Xenopus tropicalis: one gene and its partners. The protein of the gene in region 1 interacts with the protein of each later gene in a pairwise test. Links are inferred from orthologs where the notes say so. Each region holds a gene or a part of one and is shown in the gene's direction. Other genes may lie near its edges.

Evidence for each region. The genes of interacting proteins can lie anywhere in the genome.
Region 2: the proteins of nfe2l2 (region 1) and tnnt1 interact in binary tests that used the Homo sapiens proteins (3 or more experiments, as listed by UniProt). The two-hybrid records come from large-scale screens. The link is inferred for Xenopus tropicalis from reciprocal best matches to the Homo sapiens genes NFE2L2 and TNNT1.
Region 3: the proteins of nfe2l2 (region 1) and wac interact in a two-hybrid assay, tested with the Homo sapiens proteins (2 studies listed by BioGRID and IntAct). The two-hybrid records come from large-scale screens. The link is inferred for Xenopus tropicalis from reciprocal best matches to the Homo sapiens genes NFE2L2 and WAC.
Region 4: the proteins of nfe2l2 (region 1) and mafg interact in binary tests that used the Homo sapiens proteins (3 or more experiments, as listed by UniProt). The link is inferred for Xenopus tropicalis from reciprocal best matches to the Homo sapiens genes NFE2L2 and MAFG.

What each region holds. Positions count from the first base shown.
Region 1 is NC_030685.2:65,693,826-65,698,476, reverse strand, and holds the start of nfe2l2 (nuclear factor erythroid 2-related factor 2), read left to right. Parts: upstream 1-1,459; 5' UTR 1,460-1,546; coding exon 1,547-1,588; intron 1,589-4,651.
Region 2 is NC_030683.2:104,578,859-104,583,567, forward strand, and holds the start of tnnt1 (troponin T, slow skeletal muscle), read left to right. Parts: upstream 1-1,355; 5' UTR 1,356-1,466; intron 1,467-4,709. UniProt on the Homo sapiens protein: Troponin T is the tropomyosin-binding subunit of troponin, the thin filament regulatory complex which confers calcium-sensitivity to striated muscle actomyosin ATPase activity.
Region 3 is NC_030682.2:24,252,355-24,257,148, reverse strand, and holds the start of wac (WW domain-containing adapter protein with coiled-coil), read left to right. Parts: upstream 1-1,440; 5' UTR 1,441-1,749; coding exon 1,750-1,790; intron 1,791-1,957; coding exon 1,958-1,991; intron 1,992-4,794.
Region 4 is NC_030686.2:27,981,518-27,986,146, reverse strand, and holds the start of mafg (transcription factor MafG), read left to right. Parts: upstream 1-1,275; 5' UTR 1,276-2,351; coding exon 2,352-2,402; intron 2,403-4,629. UniProt on the Homo sapiens protein: Since they lack a putative transactivation domain, the small Mafs behave as transcriptional repressors when they dimerize among themselves.

The sequences.
Region 1 (4,651 bases):
TTTCCATCGGCAACAGTCGCGGTAGGGTCGGACAGGGGGTTGCAGGGCCCACCGAGGCTTCTGCCTCGGGGGCCCCTGCACTCCCCAATGGCCCCCGCCGCAGCTTTTCAACCCCCCGCCGGCCCTCTCCCCTGAGAGCGGCTAATTTAAACTTACAGTCAGGGGAGGCGGGAGGGAGACCAGCGGCACAATGGGTTTTTTCCCGGTGTCCCAGTCCGACCCTGGTCGCTGGTGAAAAGCCCTTCACATTGCTTTGGTAATCCAAAGTCACGCAAAATTTCCTCCTCCTCCCATCATGGGCAACTAACTCACTCTGTGGGTTTCTACTCTAAGGGCAGTGGCTCACAGGGAAATTTGTCGCCCGCGAGAAATCTTCGCTATTGCGGGAGACTCCCCGACAATATAAATCACTGGTGGGATGGCATATGCATCACTTCGGTTGCCTGAAGTTGCCTCACAAGGAAACTTTGGAAAACCAAAGCAACTTGTAAGCCATCCCATCAGCGATTTACATTCTTGCCGGTAGGATGGCATGTTGGTATTAGTCTCCCGCAATGGCGAAGATTTATCTCGGGCAACTAATCTCCCTGTGTGCCACTGCCCTAAAGGCAAAGACACATCAAGCTACCTAGTAGTAGCTACTTGTTAAGGGCTCTGGGACACGGGGAGATTAGTCGCCTGCGACAAAATCTCCCGTGTCTCGGGCGACTAATCTCCCCAGATTGCCATTTCGGCAAATCGCCTGCGCAGCGTGTGCCATCCCACCGGCGACTTACATTTTCGCTGGTGGGATGGCAATCCGGGGAGATTAGTCGCCCGAGACAGGGGAGATTTGTCGCGTGCGACTAATCTCCCTGTGTGCCAGAGCCCTAAGGCTACTAAATGCCAGAAAATACCCTGCCATAGACTATACTGAGAACTGCCTGCGCTAAAACACACGTAGACAGTAATTAGTAAATCATCAGAATTGTCTGTTTTTGTAGCAGTGACAAGTTGCTGCTACTAGTAACTCTGTGTGTCTTCACCCTTAGAACATACGTTGTCACATGACATAACTAGCCACCTTACTCCTAGGTACAGATTAGAATCTTGGACTCATTTGCCTGGGCTAGTTCTAAAAACAAACGGCCTAATATAAAAAAATATATATATATCTTCCCGTGTAAAGTGCCGCGAATAACCGAGAATCTACCTTTCACTCCTAACAGTAAGTGCTTATTTAAAACTATTTTCCACAGAGCGTGCAACTTTTGACGAGTATTGAAGGGTTAATGTCAGGAGGGGGATGGGCATAGTCTCACCTCCTCAGTCTCATTGCGTAAGCAGGTGGGCGTGGTGTGACCGTATCCGAATTCCTATTGGCTGGGAGGCGCTGCCAGTCCCTCACTACGTGTTGGCCCTTGTGGTTTCCCGTCATTCTAAGACGGGACGGGCTAGAGTCAGTGGCAAGGGTACAATCCGGAGGGGCTCCTAGGAAATATCGAGCACGGAGTATTACAGTAATCTCGTTACGGAGGAGATACCGGCCTGGGGCAAGGGGGCCAGCATGATGGAGATCGAGATGCCCCTGCCACTGCAGTCACAACAGGTGGGCAAGAGGTCCCGGGGGGCGGTGGTCTGTATATGACGTGTGTATGACGTGAGCAGTCATTAGAAACGAGGAAATGGCAGAATCATACGCGGGGATGGTTGTATGGTGTAGGGCGGAAAGGATATCTGCTGTGGAAAAGTAATAAAGTCCTATTATACTTTCGCCTGAGTCGCTTCCGCAACTGCTTGCATTCCATCCACAGACCAAGGCTGCACATCCCTCATTGATGTGAACCCCAGAATTCTTTTCAGAGGGGGCTCCACTTGTCTTATTCCGGCAAAAATCCAAAAAGTAGGAAAAAAGCTTCAGCAGATTTACTGCAAACCATTTATTGTGGGTTATTCCGGCCCTGCTCACACTGTACCTGGGAGCGTCTGAAGTTCAAGCTGTAAAGTACTTTACTGTGGGCTTAATGGTGCTGTGAGCAGCGCCCCCTATCTGTCAGTGCAGCTGCCCCTCCTCCCACCGGATGACTGCTCATGTGATCACTGCATCACTTGATCTCTCCAGAAGGACAGTCCTATTCCCCAATATGGGGACTGGTTGGATGTACCTGACAGAGCTGATAACCTGCTTCTATGGCACAAGGGAAAATGGATGGTAAAATAGTGCAGAAATGAGTTGATATTCATAAGATAGAGGGGTTAATAGGCAAGCAAGAGGTTACTGAGCAAAGGTTTGGGTTGGAAATAAAGAGGCATACAAATAAGTTGCAGAGGTGGGGTCAGATAATAAGGGGAAGGAACAAACCGTGAGAAAAAGCTGAAAAATGGAGTGTTATTTCAGTACAGAGAGATTAGTGATAGGACCTTGTCCATTAGGGATCGTGATTAATGGCCGGATAGTGTGTTAGATCTTGGTGGCCATGACAGTAAAAGCCATGTACTAATGTAGAGTGCTTATTGCATGTTTAAGTACTGAATGAACATGATAGGCTAAGCTATTTCTTGCATGTGGCTGCTGCAGAACAGCTTTGTTTCACCTGTTATTAATAGCTTTAAGTGGCCTACTCATTACTAACATGGCCTTAACATCGTATTGTACAGCGCTGCGGAATATGTTGGCGCTTTATAAATAAATGTTAATAACATCGGACTGGCTGACCTAGCACTCTTTCATCATGCCTGCCCATTACTGCTGTATACCACAAAGGTTAAAAGGAGATACAGGTATCGGACCCCTTATCCGGAAACCCGTTATCCAGAAAGCTCCGAATTACGGAATGCCCATCTCCCATAGACTCCATTTTAATCAAATAATTCAGAATTTTAAAACTCATTTCCTTTTTCTATGTAGAAATAAAACAGAACCTTGTAATTGATTCCAACTAAGATATAATTAATCCTTATTGGATGCAAAACAATCCTATTTGGTTTAATGTTTTATTGATTTTTTAGTAGACTTAAGGTATTGAGTTTCAAATTACGGAAAGACCCCTTATCCGGAATACCCTTGGTCCCGAGCATTCTGGATAATGGGTCCTATGCCTGTACTAGAAACTGCAGTTCATCAGTATATGCATGGTGTCTGTGCCTTTTATACAGTGTTTATGGTTTTTGCCCCATTGCACACTTTAATGGGTTTAGTGCTGTGTGCCAGGCTGCTGAGAATAGCAAATGTGGAATTTTGCTTTTTGAGAAACAATTAGTGCCATTTAAATTCCTATTTCAGATCCTAGACCGAAATAGTCAAGCCTGAATAGATATTCTATGATTAGCAGAACTTGGGGCCTTTTTTTGTGTTTTTGCAGTAATTGCACATCCAGCACAGACCAAATTAGTTGACTGTCTCTAGTGGTATCCTGTCAGACCCCTGTTTCCATTGGCCCTTGGAATATAGTCACCCTCCTCACTGCTTTCTGCTTGGCTTCCTTCTGTTCTCTCTCCCAGTTCCACTCCCTGTGTTATACAATTAGTCTGCCCAGAGTTTGCTTGCTCTCTCTGACAACTGAATGTGCACAATCACCCAGGGGATCCCTAGGGGGTTTCAATATGTACAGGAGATAGGCCAAAACTCCTCTTTATGGTCTGTTTTGAAACTTAAAAATATACAGAACTAGGATCTGTTTTAAATTTTTTTTTATAAACCATAAGTTTAATGTGAGAAATCATCATTTATTTGCCAACAATTTGTGCATGTAGTAGATTTATTTTTTATATGAACACCATCTTATCAGTGTAATTGTTTCACCTTGTTAAACTGAACCCTTTATCATTAAGTTAATATAGGAGTGCCCTTTGAGTTGCGTCATTAATAAAATTTACAGTTTACCGAACGTGGGCTCAGTGTAAATACTAGAATAATAATTGACTTTATTAATATGTGACCATTTTTGCAGCACAGCATAAAAACTTGCCTACAGCAGAGCCTTACAGCCTTAACCTTTAATGTGAATATTTAAAATAAGGCCAGGATGAGTCAGTTTCACAGGTCTGTGATTACTGCAGAATTCCAGGTAGAGTTGAAAAGAAATCCTAATTATTGCAGTTAGAGTTGCCTCTGTTTCCAGAGAAAGGGAAAAAAATGCCTTTTTTTTTTTTTTTTAGCTTTTACTAACTACTTCAGTATTAAGCATCTTCTTCTTATTATTCATTTACTGGTAGGCTGATAAATGCTGGGCAGGTAAGAACAGTGTTTGAAGTAATTCAAAACACTGATTGGCTATGTTAAAGCTCAAATGGTCAATGTTATTGTATGGTTTGCACACACTTTAACATTAAGGACATACAGACACTTTTTCAGAGGTGAATAAGTTGCTGCAGTGCATGCTGGAAGTTCTCCGCCATGTTCTGTCAGTCATAAGGAAGTCACACTTACTTTCATGTGCCTTTAAGCATAACGACCCCACAAGGCAGATAATCTCAATAGATGTTCATGAGAGTTTAGTTTGGCAGTGCATGTTGCATTGGGAGAAGAACTGAAGACTCTACACTTCATGGTGTGCTAATCATTTGGCCTATAAATAGTTGGGCAAAGGGCACCGCATGGTTGGCTACTGCATTGTGTGGGCTCCCAGTAACATAAATAGAAAATGGGTGACAGTGCTGGTCATGGTGCATT
Region 2 (4,709 bases), on another chromosome or scaffold:
GTTCTATTCCTTATTGACAACCCGTGTGCACGGGATTGTGGGATTTGGAGGATGCAGGCTGAGAGCAGTCAGCTACTGTTACATTTTCTTTTAGACTTATAGTCAGCCAGACCAGCAGGAGAACAGGGGGCTAGGCTTAGGTAACTGTTCCAAACCATATTATTACATTAAAAATTATGAAAAGGCTGCATATTTTTAATTGTTGTAATTGTTAATTGCTATAATGTTGCTTGAAATTATGTTTACTTTTCAAAGAGCTTAATCTGTGCTTGGGTTGATTTCCCCTTTAATATCTGGGGAGTGAAAAACTGTAAAATGCCAAACTGCAAGTGTTTGTGTATATGCTGTGTGTGCATCAAGCAAAGCAATACAATAAATGACAAAAGCAGATGTTACCAGACCATTGGGCAAAATCTTTTAGGCTCCCTCCCACACTTTGGAAAAGATAATCTGTGCCATACACACATGCCGAGATTGCACATCTATTATTGATCGCAGCTATTATTTGCAGCTTATTTCTTCAACTAGAGGGCACTCTCTCCTCTGGCTCAATCAAACTGCTTAAAGGGGCAGTATACACCTGTGTTAAAAAATAAACCACAGGCACTTTATAGTTACAATATATACACAGGCCGAGGCAGTGCCAGTCAGTACAGTTATAGCAAGGAGCGTATGGGAGTCAATGCTCTTCGTGTGCTATTAGCCTTAAATGAAACACTGTTCATTTTATATTAATATGAGCCCAACAAGTGCTAACCCATATAGGATTCCTAAATATTTTTATGATACAGGTATAGGACCCCTTATCCAGAATGTGCGGGACCAAGGGTATTCCAGATAAGAGGTCTTTCTGTAATTTCAATCTCCATACCTTAAGTCTACTAAAAAAAAACAATAAAACATTAATTAAACCCAATAGGATTGTTTTGCATACAATAAGGATTATTTATATCTTTTATTACTACAGAGAAAAAGGAAATCAGTTTTAAAATTATTTGATTAAAATGGAGTCTATGGGAGACATGCTTTTTCGTAATTCAAAGCTTTCTGTATAATGGGTTTCCGGATAAGGGATCCCACACCTGTAGTATATTATCAATAAGTGCTTGAAAGACTTACCATACAATTGCAAATATATATAGATAGATAGATATATGTATATATATATGTGTGTGTGTGTGTGTGTATGTGCTAATTTAATGCACATGTGAGGACAGAAAAATATTCCATAGGGTGATTGCTGTTCCTCTCCCTTTTCCTTTTATTGAAGTTGGATAATCCCCCCCTCCTCCCCAGCCCCCTGCCCAATACAATATGATCAGGGCCAGACGGTGGGGTCTGGTTTCTAAAAGAAAACGTCCACCACATGCTTGGGACAGCCCCACTACAAAGGGCATTTGAAAAAGCCATTTGTCTGTCACTCCAATCATAACCTCCGACGCCTCTCACGCTGACAAGGGCTCCAGGTAAGTGAGCTGGAACATCATGCTTAGTATTAGGGAAAAGGCAAGGCACATATATATAGAACTGATTAACTGAATCACTCATCCCATATTTTTATTTAGCATGTCTTAGTCTGTCAATATAATTAGTTTTTCTGTGCAGAGAATTATTTTTGTATATTGTGATTTTTGCATTTCTCTTTCTGGCTACATTTGGTTTGAGCTCACTGTAACACTATGAACAAAAGGAGAATGTTCCAGAGCCTATATGTTCCTTTCAAGCCTTTTACTCCCCTAAAGAGCCAGCCTTTTTATTCCCAGCATACTGCATGATTATGCTTATATATGTACTATTCCTGCCAAGGAGAATACTCTTGGACATTGACAATTGACAACTGCAGTTTTAAAAAATAATTTAGCAGCTTTAGGGGTTTTTTTTGCCCAAACCCATCCCTACTGTCTCCCATTCACTGTTATATAAACCACCTTATAGCACTATTACTACTTCTTTCCGTTTTCCAATTTAAAGGGACACGCAACCCCTTTGTTTAACACTGGCTCAGTGAATAGAGATTGTGCTGAACATACCTGCTGGACTGCTGATCTGTTTGACTCTGCGGACCAGAAAGTAGAACGTGACTGGAGTGCTATTGATTAAAAAGCTAAATAATTAAAAAAAACACAAAATCTGAAAAATGAAGACCAATTGCAAACTGTCTCATTATGCCTCATACTAAAAGTTAAAAGGCTAACTACCTCTGTAATTGGGTTTGTTTTACATTAATTTTAGTCATTATTCTTCATCACTTACATTTCTCTTTATATTTTGTGGATTACTCCTCCTTACTTTACTTACTGTAATGTACTGTTGCCCTGCACTGGTAAAACTTGTGTGTTTGCTTTAGAAACCCTAATATAGTTTCTATAAATCAGCTGCTGTGTAACCATGGGGGCAGCTATTTTAGCTGAAAAAAAGGATAACACACAGGTTACATAGTAGATAACAGATAAACACTGTAACATACAATTGGAATCTACACAGCTTATTGGTTTTCTGCTATGTAACCTGTGCCTTTTCTCCTTTTAAAGGTTGAATAGCTGCCCCCATGGCTACACAGCAGTTTTGTTTATATTAAAGGAACAGTAACACCAAAAAATTCAAGTGTATAAAAGAAATTCCAATATAATGTGCTGCTGCCCTGCACTGGTACAACTGGTGTGTTTGCCTCAGAAACACTACTATGGTTTATATAAAGAATGCAGCTGTGTAGCCATGGGGGCAGCCATTCAAAGGAGAAAAGGCACAGGCACATAGCAGATAACAGATAAAACACTATTGTATTCTACAGAGCTTATCCGTTATCTGCTATGTAACCTGTGCCTCTTCTCCTTTTTTCCAGCTTGAATGGCTGCCCCCGGGGCTACACAGCAGCTCATTATATATAACCTATAGTAGAGTTACTGTAGCAAACACACAACTTTTACCAGTGTAAGCCAACAGTACATTATATTTAATTTACTTTAAAACTCTTTCATTTTTTGGTGTTACTGTTCCTTTAACTATAGTAGGATTTCTGTAGCAAATGCACAACTTTTACTAGTACAGGGAAACAGTACATAATATATGAATTACTTGCACAGCTGTTGTTTGGGAGTTGCTAATAGGAGGAACTGCCCTGGGCATTGCAGAGCATTAGTTAGATATAGGATGTTGGTGGGGTAACAGGGTAATACCGCAACAGTAGAGCCACATGGTGATAATAGAGCAAGATAGACACTGTATTTCAGTATTGCCAAACCTGCAACCCTTAAGTTGATGCAGAAGTACACATCTCACTGTTCAATGATGGCAAAGGTGATTCAGAGGGTTGTAGTTTAACAGCAACTGCTTTTGTATGAAGTCATTGTGTGAACTGATGCCATTTATTATAGGTACAGGTATGGGACCTATTATACAGAATGCTTGGGACCTGGGGTTTTCCGGATAAGGGGTCTTTCCGTAATTTGGATCGCCTACCTTAAGTCTGCCAAAAAAAATATTTAAACAGTAATTAAACCCAATAGGATTGTTTTGGCTCCAATAAGGATTAATTATATCTTAGTTGGGATCAAGTACAAGGTTCTGTTTTATTATTACAGAAAATTATTTTTAAAAAATTTGAATTATTTAATTTAAATGGAGTCTATGGGAGATGGCCTTTCCGTAATTCAGAACTCTCTGGATAATGGGCTTCTGGATAAGGAGTCAGATTCCTGGACTTGCATCTATACTTCTACTAGTGCGCTGTTCCCACCTCCTGTGCCAAATCACATGCAAGTGTGTGTATTGAGGCAGGGGATCCCTGGAGCTACAACCACCTCCAAGTTTCAGAGTTCCCACTGTGGGTAAAAATTAGAACTGCTATACCCTCACATTCATCTGTGCAAACTGAAAATAAACCTTACTTCTAAATCTGATATATTCTCCTTTCAATACTCACACAAATATGCACAGTGCGTCTCTGCCAGGACTGAGTTCACTGAAGCCCTTAAGCATCTTGCATTAATGATCTAGTTGCAACCATCTTTAATTGTGGAGGGGCCCAGGTTTTATATACAGTAATGTTGGATTGTCCAACTTTTGGCCCTTCAGCACAACTCACAGCACTGCTGACAGCCACAGCACTGATATAAAATGGTACGTGCTGATTCCATCTTGTTCCTGCTACGCACCAATCATGCCGTATACAGGTGCTATAAGGACCAGAGCAGTCGCCTCTATCTTTCCTTTCTCCTCTTAAAGCTATGGAACTACTCATTCCCTAAAATGTATTCCTCAATGGCTATCCTATCCAGACTCTGCTACATGCTATGTCCTGAATGTGGAAGTCATTATTCAGACTCATTATGAAAGTGAGTGGGCTGTACAGTATCCTGCCTAATAATGTGCCTGGAAAATACATCTGCAGAACTGTCAAGGGAATCCAAGTATGATGTTTAGTAGCTTAGTAAGCAAAGCCAAATCACCATATATTACAAAATTGCACTTGCAAGTACACTTTAATGCAACTGGCAAAAAAGCCAATGGGGGCATTTCTGGCCCTGCTTCCTGAGCAGGGTAATTAAAGGAAGGAAGTGCATGAAATAATTACAATACAATGTAGCATTGCCCTGTTTGTTTGGTTCAGAAACACTACTATAGTTTATATAAACAAAGTTGCCAAGTACCCATGGGGGTGGTTATTTAAATTGAAATGGGGCTAAACAGGTTACATAGCAGATAACAGA
Region 3 (4,794 bases), on another chromosome or scaffold:
ACACTGTTTTTGCACAGCAACCTATTCCTATGTATACACAAAGGCAGCTGCCAGACCTAGCGGAAATACGCGGCATTTTTTACTATTTCGCACTATTAGAACCTTTTCAACTCCTTTTATATAGTTGAAATGGCGGGATCAGATGCAAATGTGCTATACCCTCATACTGTACTACCTAAGGAAGCCCACAGAGCCCCCCATACACAGTGCCTTTCATACAGAGCCCCCCCATATACAGTACCCCCCATACACAGTACCCTTTATACACAGAGCCCCCCCATATACAGTACCCCCCATACACAGTACCCTTTATATACAGTACCCTTTATACACAGAGCCCCCCCATATACAGTACCCCCCATACACAGTACCCTTTATATACAGTACCCTTTATATACAGTACCCTTTATACACAGTGCCCCCTATACACAGTGCCCCCCATACATAGTGCCCCCCCAAACACAGTGCCCCCCCATACACAGTGCCCCCCATACACAGAGCCCCCCATACACAGAGGCCCCCAAACACAGAGCCCCCATCGCGCTCCGACACTTTATAAGGTTGCGCCCCGTGTGTATGTGTGACGTCATTACGCACGGGCGCAACCTTATAAAAGGGCCAGGGACCGCCGGCGAAGGAGCCACATGAGAGAAGCAGCGCAAGGAGTTGGAGCGCTCATCCCGCTGTCACGGATCCTTCTATGAATGTCCCGCATTTCTGTAATCTATTACGAAAATGCGGGACATTCAGGGAACTATCCGGGACAGCGGGATGAGCTATAGAAAACGGGACAGTTGGGGGGTATGCCACAGGCAGGGGCTGTGTGGCTTGTGCGGCACTTTTAGGCTGAGAAAATACGCAGCGTAAAAACGTCACATGTGGCATCAGCCTAAAGCAGGAGACGCTAAGGAACTGGCATTAAATACAGGGCATAGTGCAGATTACAGCACCTCAAGAGCTAGGCACAGAGATTTGTACATGGGGGGGTCTAGAGATCATGGCTATGCAACCCTTTATGCTTCCCCACTAACACTTCCCTTACTAAATGCCCTTGTGTCCTCTGGCAGAAACTTCAGGTGTATAAAACATAATACTCAAGTTCTCAGGTATGTTTTGCACACACGTATTGTATTCAGCAAACAAGCTGGGGGGGGGGGGTTATTGTTGGAAAATAACGCCTGCGTGGCAGAATGTAAATCAGATATCTCCAGCTTGGTTTGCACGGTACACGAAAACCTGAGAAGGCGATTTGTCGCGTTATTTAATTGTACGAAACAATTAAAGCTTTTAGAAAAGAGAAAGCGATGACGAAGCTATCTGTGGGAGGCGAGGGCGGAGCTAGGAGAGGTGGGGGGCGGAGCTAGGTGAGGCTGGGCTGAGGCTGCGCGGAAAGACGCAGGAAAGGCTGCGCTGCGCATGCGCGGGCGGATGAGTTGGTTGGGATCGCGTCGCTGCGCGTTCCCGGAGAATCCGCGCTCCCGTTGCTTGCGTCGTGCCGTCTGTGTCTGTGTGTGCGGGGGGGAGATGGATCCCGGGCGCTCGCCCCATTAAACACATCGAACCCCCTCTATAAAGTCTCCAAATCTTCTCCTGAGGGTTTGAGAAAAGAGCCGGCCACTTCCCGGACCCCGCTGTACGTCTCCGAGCCCCGCCGCCTCCCGGTGGTCGGGTTTATTATTATTCTCCTCCTCCTCCTCACTAGCCCTCTTCCTCTCTGTCGCCTCCACACCCCACTCACACACGGCATTGATGGTAATGTATGCAAGGAAACAAGCGAGACTCAGTGATGGGTAATAATGCACCGCTTTCTCCTTCTCCCTCTTTCCTCCCCTCTGGCGGAGCCGCCATTTTTGTTGCGAACCCCCCGAGATGTGGGGGCGGGAGGGAGCCGTGCCCCCTCTCTCTTTATCCGCCTCAGCGGCTCTAACGGGCCTTTCTCTCTTCTTGTCTTTTGCAGCTGTCACGACCGAAGGGACTCCCAACCCTACCAGGTATCGCCTAGCGAGCGGCGCCGCTACTCTAGCTCAGGCTTCGGCCTGTACACTAGGCCCCGGATCGGAGGTTTGGCTCTAGCACTGCAGCAAGAGGGGTAGTAGCCTGTGTGCAAGCAACTTGGCCGCATTCTCTCCTTCTGCCCCAGGCTAACCTGTAGCCTCCCAGCTGCACCTACATGCATCTCTCTGGGCTAAGGGACTTCAGCAGCTGGAAATCAGAGGGCTACTTTGCCTTTAAATTAACTTTCCCTAACATAGACCTTATTATGAGACCATTTTCAGTTGGCTTTCATTATTTTTTTTCTTATTATTGCTTTTTGAAATATTTAGCTCTTTAGTTCAGCATTTCTCTAGTTTGGAATTTCAGCCCCTTATCTGGTTGCTAGGTTTTTATTTACATTAGAGAGCGGGGCAGTGCTTTGGATGACAGGCCAGAGCATGGCTAGAAGCGTGTCAGAATAGAAAGATAAGTAATAATACAATTGTATCTTGACAGGCCACCAATAGATTTTAGGTTGTATGGGACTGGGATCCCCCCCCCCATGTTGCCAGAAAGCATTTTGAATTGGAAGCTAGAGGGAGGCAGATCATTAAAGGAACAGTAACACCAAAAAATGAAAGTGTATAAAAGTAACTAAAATATAATGTGCTGCTGCCCTGCACTGGTAAAAGTTGTGTGTTTACTTCAGAAAGTCTACTATAATTTATATAAATAAGCTGCTGTGTAGCCATGGGGGCAGCCATTCAAAGGGGAAAAGGCACAGGCACATAGCAGATAACAGATAAAACACTATTGTATTCTACAGAACTTATCTGTTATCTGCTATGTAACCTGTGCCTTTTCTCCTTTTTTCCAGCTTGAATGGCTGCCCCCGTGGCTACACAGCAGCTTATTATATAAATTATAGTAGTGTTACTGTAGCAAACACACCAGTTTTACCAGTGCAGGGCAACTGGTGCATTATATATTTATTACTTTAAAGCTCTTTCATTTTTTAGTGTTACTGTTCCTTTAAACTTAAAAAAGACCAATTAAAAATTTGTGAAGTACAGGCAATTCTGTAACACAGTAAATTTAAAGGCAAACTACCCTTTTCATTTAGGGATTTTGTTCAGGGCCAAATGTAGATTATGGCAGAGAGGGTTTGCCAAGGGTCTGTATGAGGCAAAGTATATATAGTGTATACTGTTCAACCCCAAGATAATATTGTTGCTTGAGCTGTTAATGCAGTTTATAACATTTTATATTTAATACTAGGAGTTGTTTTCCAAAACAATGCTACCAGATAAGTTTGGTATCTCCAGTGTATATTTTTCACATGGTTAGCTGCAATAGTGCAGCACTTGGTTAACCCAGCCAAAACAAACCAACACAGACTCTAAAACTAATCTTAAAATCTAGGGAGATTCCTTAATACTAATCATTATGACTAGACAGGGAAGGTGGTAGAAAGGGGAAAGCAAATACTTGCCTGTTTATTAATAATCTGTTCTGAGTTTTTGGCATGGTTGCCGTGCCAGGGAAACTGGTGAGTATTTATACCAGCTGGGAAACCACAGTTCAAAACTCCCTGTTTATATTTGGGTACAGATTGCTAGTTCTTTCATTGCCTTGTATACAAATGTTCGGTACAGGATGTTTCTCATCAACAACTTTAACAAGTTTAACAAACAGGATTATTTGGGCTAGTGCTTTCAAGTGATTGTTTTGGTTTTTAAAAGCTAGTGGAGAATAAGGTGCAGTATTGGTGATGTAAACTGTTTTGCATCGGAATTGATTCCAGAGCTAGTAATAAAGAAAAGTGGATTTTTATGGGAAAAAAATTGAAATTTTTATGGAATCAGATCATTTTAGTGGTCCCTTCCACTACTTTACCTTCTCTTGTGTCAAGAAAAAACAAACTAGAATTTATATTTTAGTTCAGTGGCTGATAACATTGCCATGCACACTGAGCTCATTTATTTGGCTCTTCCACCTAACTTAAAGCAGTATTTGTTTCTTCCTTTCTATTCTGATTCTTTAAGGAATGTGACAGAAATCTATTTTCTTCCAGAGTCAAGAGTGCTGTGTGTAGAGACAGATACTGCTTTCAATATTAATCGCATTTACAAATAATTAAAAAAAAAAAAAAACAATGAAATTGTGTAATCTATTTATATTAAAAAGTCTCTTAGAATGACAGTTTGGGAAAAGAAAATGGAACAAACTAAAAAATAAAGGTTTCTCAGTGTACTGGACCAGTTTGCTAAAATGAGAGTTAGCAGAGGGGCTTATTGCAAAAATTTTGGTTTCACAGAAATAGTATTATAATGCCATAGAAATAAATCGTAATTATTAGTCTAACTTTTCGAATTGGACCATAGGGGCATTATGCTGCAGCATTTAAAAGCACTTGCAGTACAGTTGCATTGTGCACACAAAATTAACACTGCTGATATGCACAAATTTTAAATGTTACACTCTAAATATTTATTCATTTATTAACATTGTTCCTATAGCTCTTCATATACTTTACAGTTAGAATGTACAGGGAGCAAAGCTGGAGAGAATAAAAAAATATTGAGAGGATTTCTTATGTGATCTTTCCAGTTAGTCTCTCTATAACACTGTAGGTCTTTTAGTATAAAACTCATTTGTTGCGTGCTCCGTAATTATTCCCCTGATAATCAAATACATTATATTTTTGCAGAATGATTTCATTAGTGAAACAAAATTATTAATATTTTTCCACTTAATATATTATATTCTCTGATGGCAGACCCCTCATCATTTCATGTTTTAGTTTGTTGCAACCTCCTT
Region 4 (4,629 bases), on another chromosome or scaffold:
CCTGCCTCCCAGTCAAGTTATGGTACAGCTTTTGGATGTCCCCATACGTCTGCAGGACAGGAAGAGCAGCCTAGAGAAAATGAGATTTTCTTACTGGTAAATCCTTTTCTTGGATTTACTGTCAGTGCAGTAAGCCCCCCCCTTATCTCCTTTAGAGTAGTTGGCCTATGGGGTACCTGGCTATGCTGCCATGGTTATACAGTTGCTTAAAATTTTTGTTTTGTTCTTCCTTTTCCATCTAGTTATCCTTCAACAGTTTTTTTATGTACTCTTTCTTATCCTATCCTGTGTTTTTTGTTTTTTTTAAATACAGCCTCATCGCAGGTGAGCCACCTGCACCTGGAGAGAGCTCCTAGCGCACGCAGCCATGTTATTTAGTGCACATTAATAGCTGTGACAAGTAGCTGCTACTAAGTAGCTCCATGTGTCTTCACCCTTAGAGTTGTTAAACTAGGAGTATCTCACGGTTCCACTGTTAATAAAAAGACCCATTTGGATTCCTGGAAAACTACCCATTTGAAAATATATGAATAAACCTCACGCTCCAGGTATACTCTCTTTACAAATTGAACTATCCTCCAATGTGGGAAAAAAAGTAAGAACTTATTATCCCAATGGACTAAATACAAAATATCCTGGTTAGGACGAAGATGTTTATTTTACCAAAACTATATTTTTTTCACTCCCTACTTATTCCAGTACCTAAGACTGGGCTCATTACTTCACAAAAACTTTTAAACAGGTTCATATGGAATCATGGCTACCCTTGTGTTTTGGGTGCCATTTTATGTAAACATAAGAAAAGTGATGGTTTAAATTTTCTCAGTTCATTAAAATATTATCAGGCAGCTCAAATATCTCCTATAACTGTATTACGTTTCCGATTAACACAATTTTTTTGTGGTTAAAATCACAATATGCCAAAAATTTAGAGTAACCACGATAATTTCTGATGTTCGAAAATTATTTTATCGGTCGTACGAAAATATTATGGTTCGTTTTGAAAGTCACAAAATTTTCGGATCTGAACGTTCAGAAATGGCCCAAAAACCTTTCTGGCTTTGAAACCTTCAATGCATGATTTTGAAAGCCTTCCCAACTTGGCCAAAAGATAGTCACGATACCAAAGCTTGAATAAATTCCGAAATGATTGCAGTCTTTACGAAAAATACGACTTTCTTGTGGAAGTTAACGAAAACCACGAAAAAGTTGTGACATTTTAATGAAATTATCGTGGACATTACGAAAAGTTCAATAAATTAGAAAAAATACAATTTTTTCTCAAAAATAAAAATTGTGGTTTAATGAATGGGCCCCTAAGTGTAAGGGATTTCAGTTTTATCCATTTGCCTTCCATGACAAGCAGGCCCTAGAGCCTAGACCCTCAAAGTTTGTTTGTAAACATCCTGTAACTAGGATGAAACACAGTAGTAGTCACTGCAGACTATGAAATATTTCATTTCCAGTAACATGTAATATTTGATGGTATCCTTTAGCCAAACCTTAAACCATGTGACCAGCCTAAGAAAGTCTTGCTCAGCTGCAGCATCTGACTTCAGATCTCCCCTAATGTTGCTTCCTCCTTCCACTTTGGTCCAAATTTCATCCATGAAGTTAAGGATGGATATAAGGCTAAGATATTAATGCTAAACCTCACGTTAGGAAGCATTTTAATAAATATAGATGTTTTCAAAAGAACCCAGGATACTTCCCATAGTAATAGGGTTACAATGCTTACCAACAAAACCAAACCTTCTTTTAGGTAGTTAAATGTTATACTTATCTATTTCTTATCTAAAACTTTTGTCCTTTCTTCATCTTTATGACAATTACAACCTGAACTGCATCTTTGTTTTATAATATTTATTTGAATTTCTGCTCTTTCAAAACATTCCCTTATCTTTAGAATTGTCATCCGACAGACTTCCGGTAAAAAAAATCTTCCACGTTCAGCTACTCCCCTTCCTGTGATATCACATTGTCCAATAAGCACAGATCAGACCTGTGCTGGCTCCCACCTCTTTAAAGCCACAAGCTCCTCTGCCGGGGAACACAGAAATGTGGTTCCAGTGGTACAAATGTATTTTCCCAGTGTATCTTCAGGAGGCAGTTGCTAAACCCATTAGCTGTTGCTAAGTGGCAATCCTATCCCTAGAATAAATATTGTTTGCTGGTCATAAATTCCTGCAAACGCTTCTTTATTTCATCCTGGGCAACGGAGTTACTAATCCTGTAGCCTGCCTCCTTGCTTAGCTGTCCATCTGTCACCCTGCCCTCCTCTAATTCTGATTGGATGTGCTGCCAGAACCTGTGTGAGTGACATGATGCACACTGGGTTCTCCGTTAGCTGAATGGAAACGTTTTCTCCCCCTCCTTCCCCTCCCTGTTGGATAACAGAAAAGGTATGCTTTTTTTTTTCATTTTCTGCAGTCACAGTAGAAATATGAGACATGGGCTCTGTACAGGGAAAATTATTTTTGCACAGCAGCTGTCAGTTGTGTGGGCTCTGAGTTTAGGAACAAAAAAGAGAGAATATTCATTGAAACGCCTGGAGCGGAAAAGGGAATGCAAATTTTTTTGGAGGGGGGTGGGGCATGGTATTCTTTCATCTATATGACAATTACAGGCTGAACTGCATGTTTGATTCATAAGCCCCATTTGCCCTGTTCCAAGGCGTATGGGTCCAGGGGCACTGGAGACAAGCAAGGCTTATTTACAGATGGGAAGGCACACATTGTGTTGTGTTTCCTTTCATCCTGGCATCCTGGGCAATTCAGCTACTGATCATGCAGCCTGCCTCCTTGCTTAGCAGTCCATCTTCTGCCCCGCCCCCTCTGCTTGTGATTGGATGTGCTGCCAGGCACTGTGTGAGTGACATGCCCCACACTGGTTCTCTGTCGGCTGAATGGAACCACTTGCTCCCCCTTCTCCCTCCTTCCCCCTCCCTGTTGGATAGCAGAAAAGGTATGCTTTTTCATCTTCTGCAGTCACAGTGGAAATATGCAATGTGCGCCCTGTATGGGGAAAAGGGTTGCTAACAGAAATTCATAGACTCTCAGCAGGTGCAGAGACTATATTCTCTTGCCTTATAAATGTATTCATTAAATGCAGGCTTCTGGGCTTTTGCCTTATAAATGGATTGAATGTATTCTGCCTGGAGAGCTGTTTTCTGTGCCTCTTTTATTCTTCCCATCTCTAATGTGTACAACTGGGAGTTCTCGGCCTCTCTTGATTAACTGGCTATGCAGGTACTGATAACATGGTGTGAAACTAAGTTTAATACTATATTTGGCGCATATACAGTGGTGTGAAAAACTATTTGCCCCCTTCCTGATTTCTTATTCTTTTGCATGTTTGTCACACAAAATGTTTCTGATCATCAAACACATTTAACTATTAGTCAAAGATAACACAAGTAAACACAAAATGCAGTTTTTAAATGAGGGTTTTTATTATTTAGGGAGAAAACCTACATGGCCCTGTGTGAAAAAGTAATTGCCCCCTGAACCTAATAACTGGTTGGGCCACCCTTAGCAGCAATAACTGCAATCAAGCGTTTGCGATAACTTGCAACAAGTCTTTTACAGCGCTCTGGAGGAATTTTGGCCCACTCATCTTTGCAGAATTGTTGTAATTCAGCTTTATTTGAGGGTTTTCTAGCATGAACCGCCTTTTTAAGGTCATGCCACAACATCTCAATAGGATTCAGGTCAGGACTTTGACTAGGCCACTCCAAAGTCTTCATTTTGTTTTTCTTCAGCCATTCAGAGGTGGATTTGCTGGTGTGTTTTGGGTCATTGTCCTGCTGCAGCACCCAAGATCGCTTCAGCTTGAGTTGACGAACAGATGGCCGGACATTCTCCTTCATGATTTTTTGGTAGACAGTAGAATTCATGGTTCCATCTATCACAGCAAGCCTTCCAGGTCCTGAAGCAGCAAAACAACCCCAGACCATCACACTACCACCACCATATTTTACTGTTGGTATGATGTTCTTTTTCTGAAATGCTGTGTTACTTTTACGCCAGATGTAACGGGACACGCACCTTCCAAAAAGTTCAACTTTTGTCTCGTCGGTCCACAAGGTATTTTCCCAAAAGTCTTGGCAATCATTGAGATGTTTTTTAGCAAAATTGAGATGAGCCTTAATGTTCTTTTTGCTTAAAAGTGGTTTGCGCCTTGGAAATCTGCCATGCAGGCCATTTTTGCCCAGTCTCTTTCTTATGGTGGAATCGTGAACACTGACCTTAATTGAGGCAAGTGAGGCCTGCAGTTCTTTAGATGTTGTCCTGGGGTCTTTTGTGGCCTCTCGGATGAGTTGTCTCTGCGCTCTTGGGGTAATTTTGGTCGGCCGGCCACTCCTGGGAAGGTTCACCACTGTTCCATGTTTTTGCCATTTGTGGATAATGGCTCTCACTGTGGTTCGCTGGAGTCCCAAAGCTTTAGAAATGGCTTTATAACCTTTACCAGACTGATAGATCTCAATTACTTTTGTTCTCATTTGTTCCTGAATTTCTTTGGATCTTGGCATGATGTCTAGCTTTTGAGGTGCTTTTGGTCTACTTCTCTGTGTCAGGTAGCTCCTATTTAAGTGATTTCTTGATTGAAACAGGTGTGGCAGTAATCAGG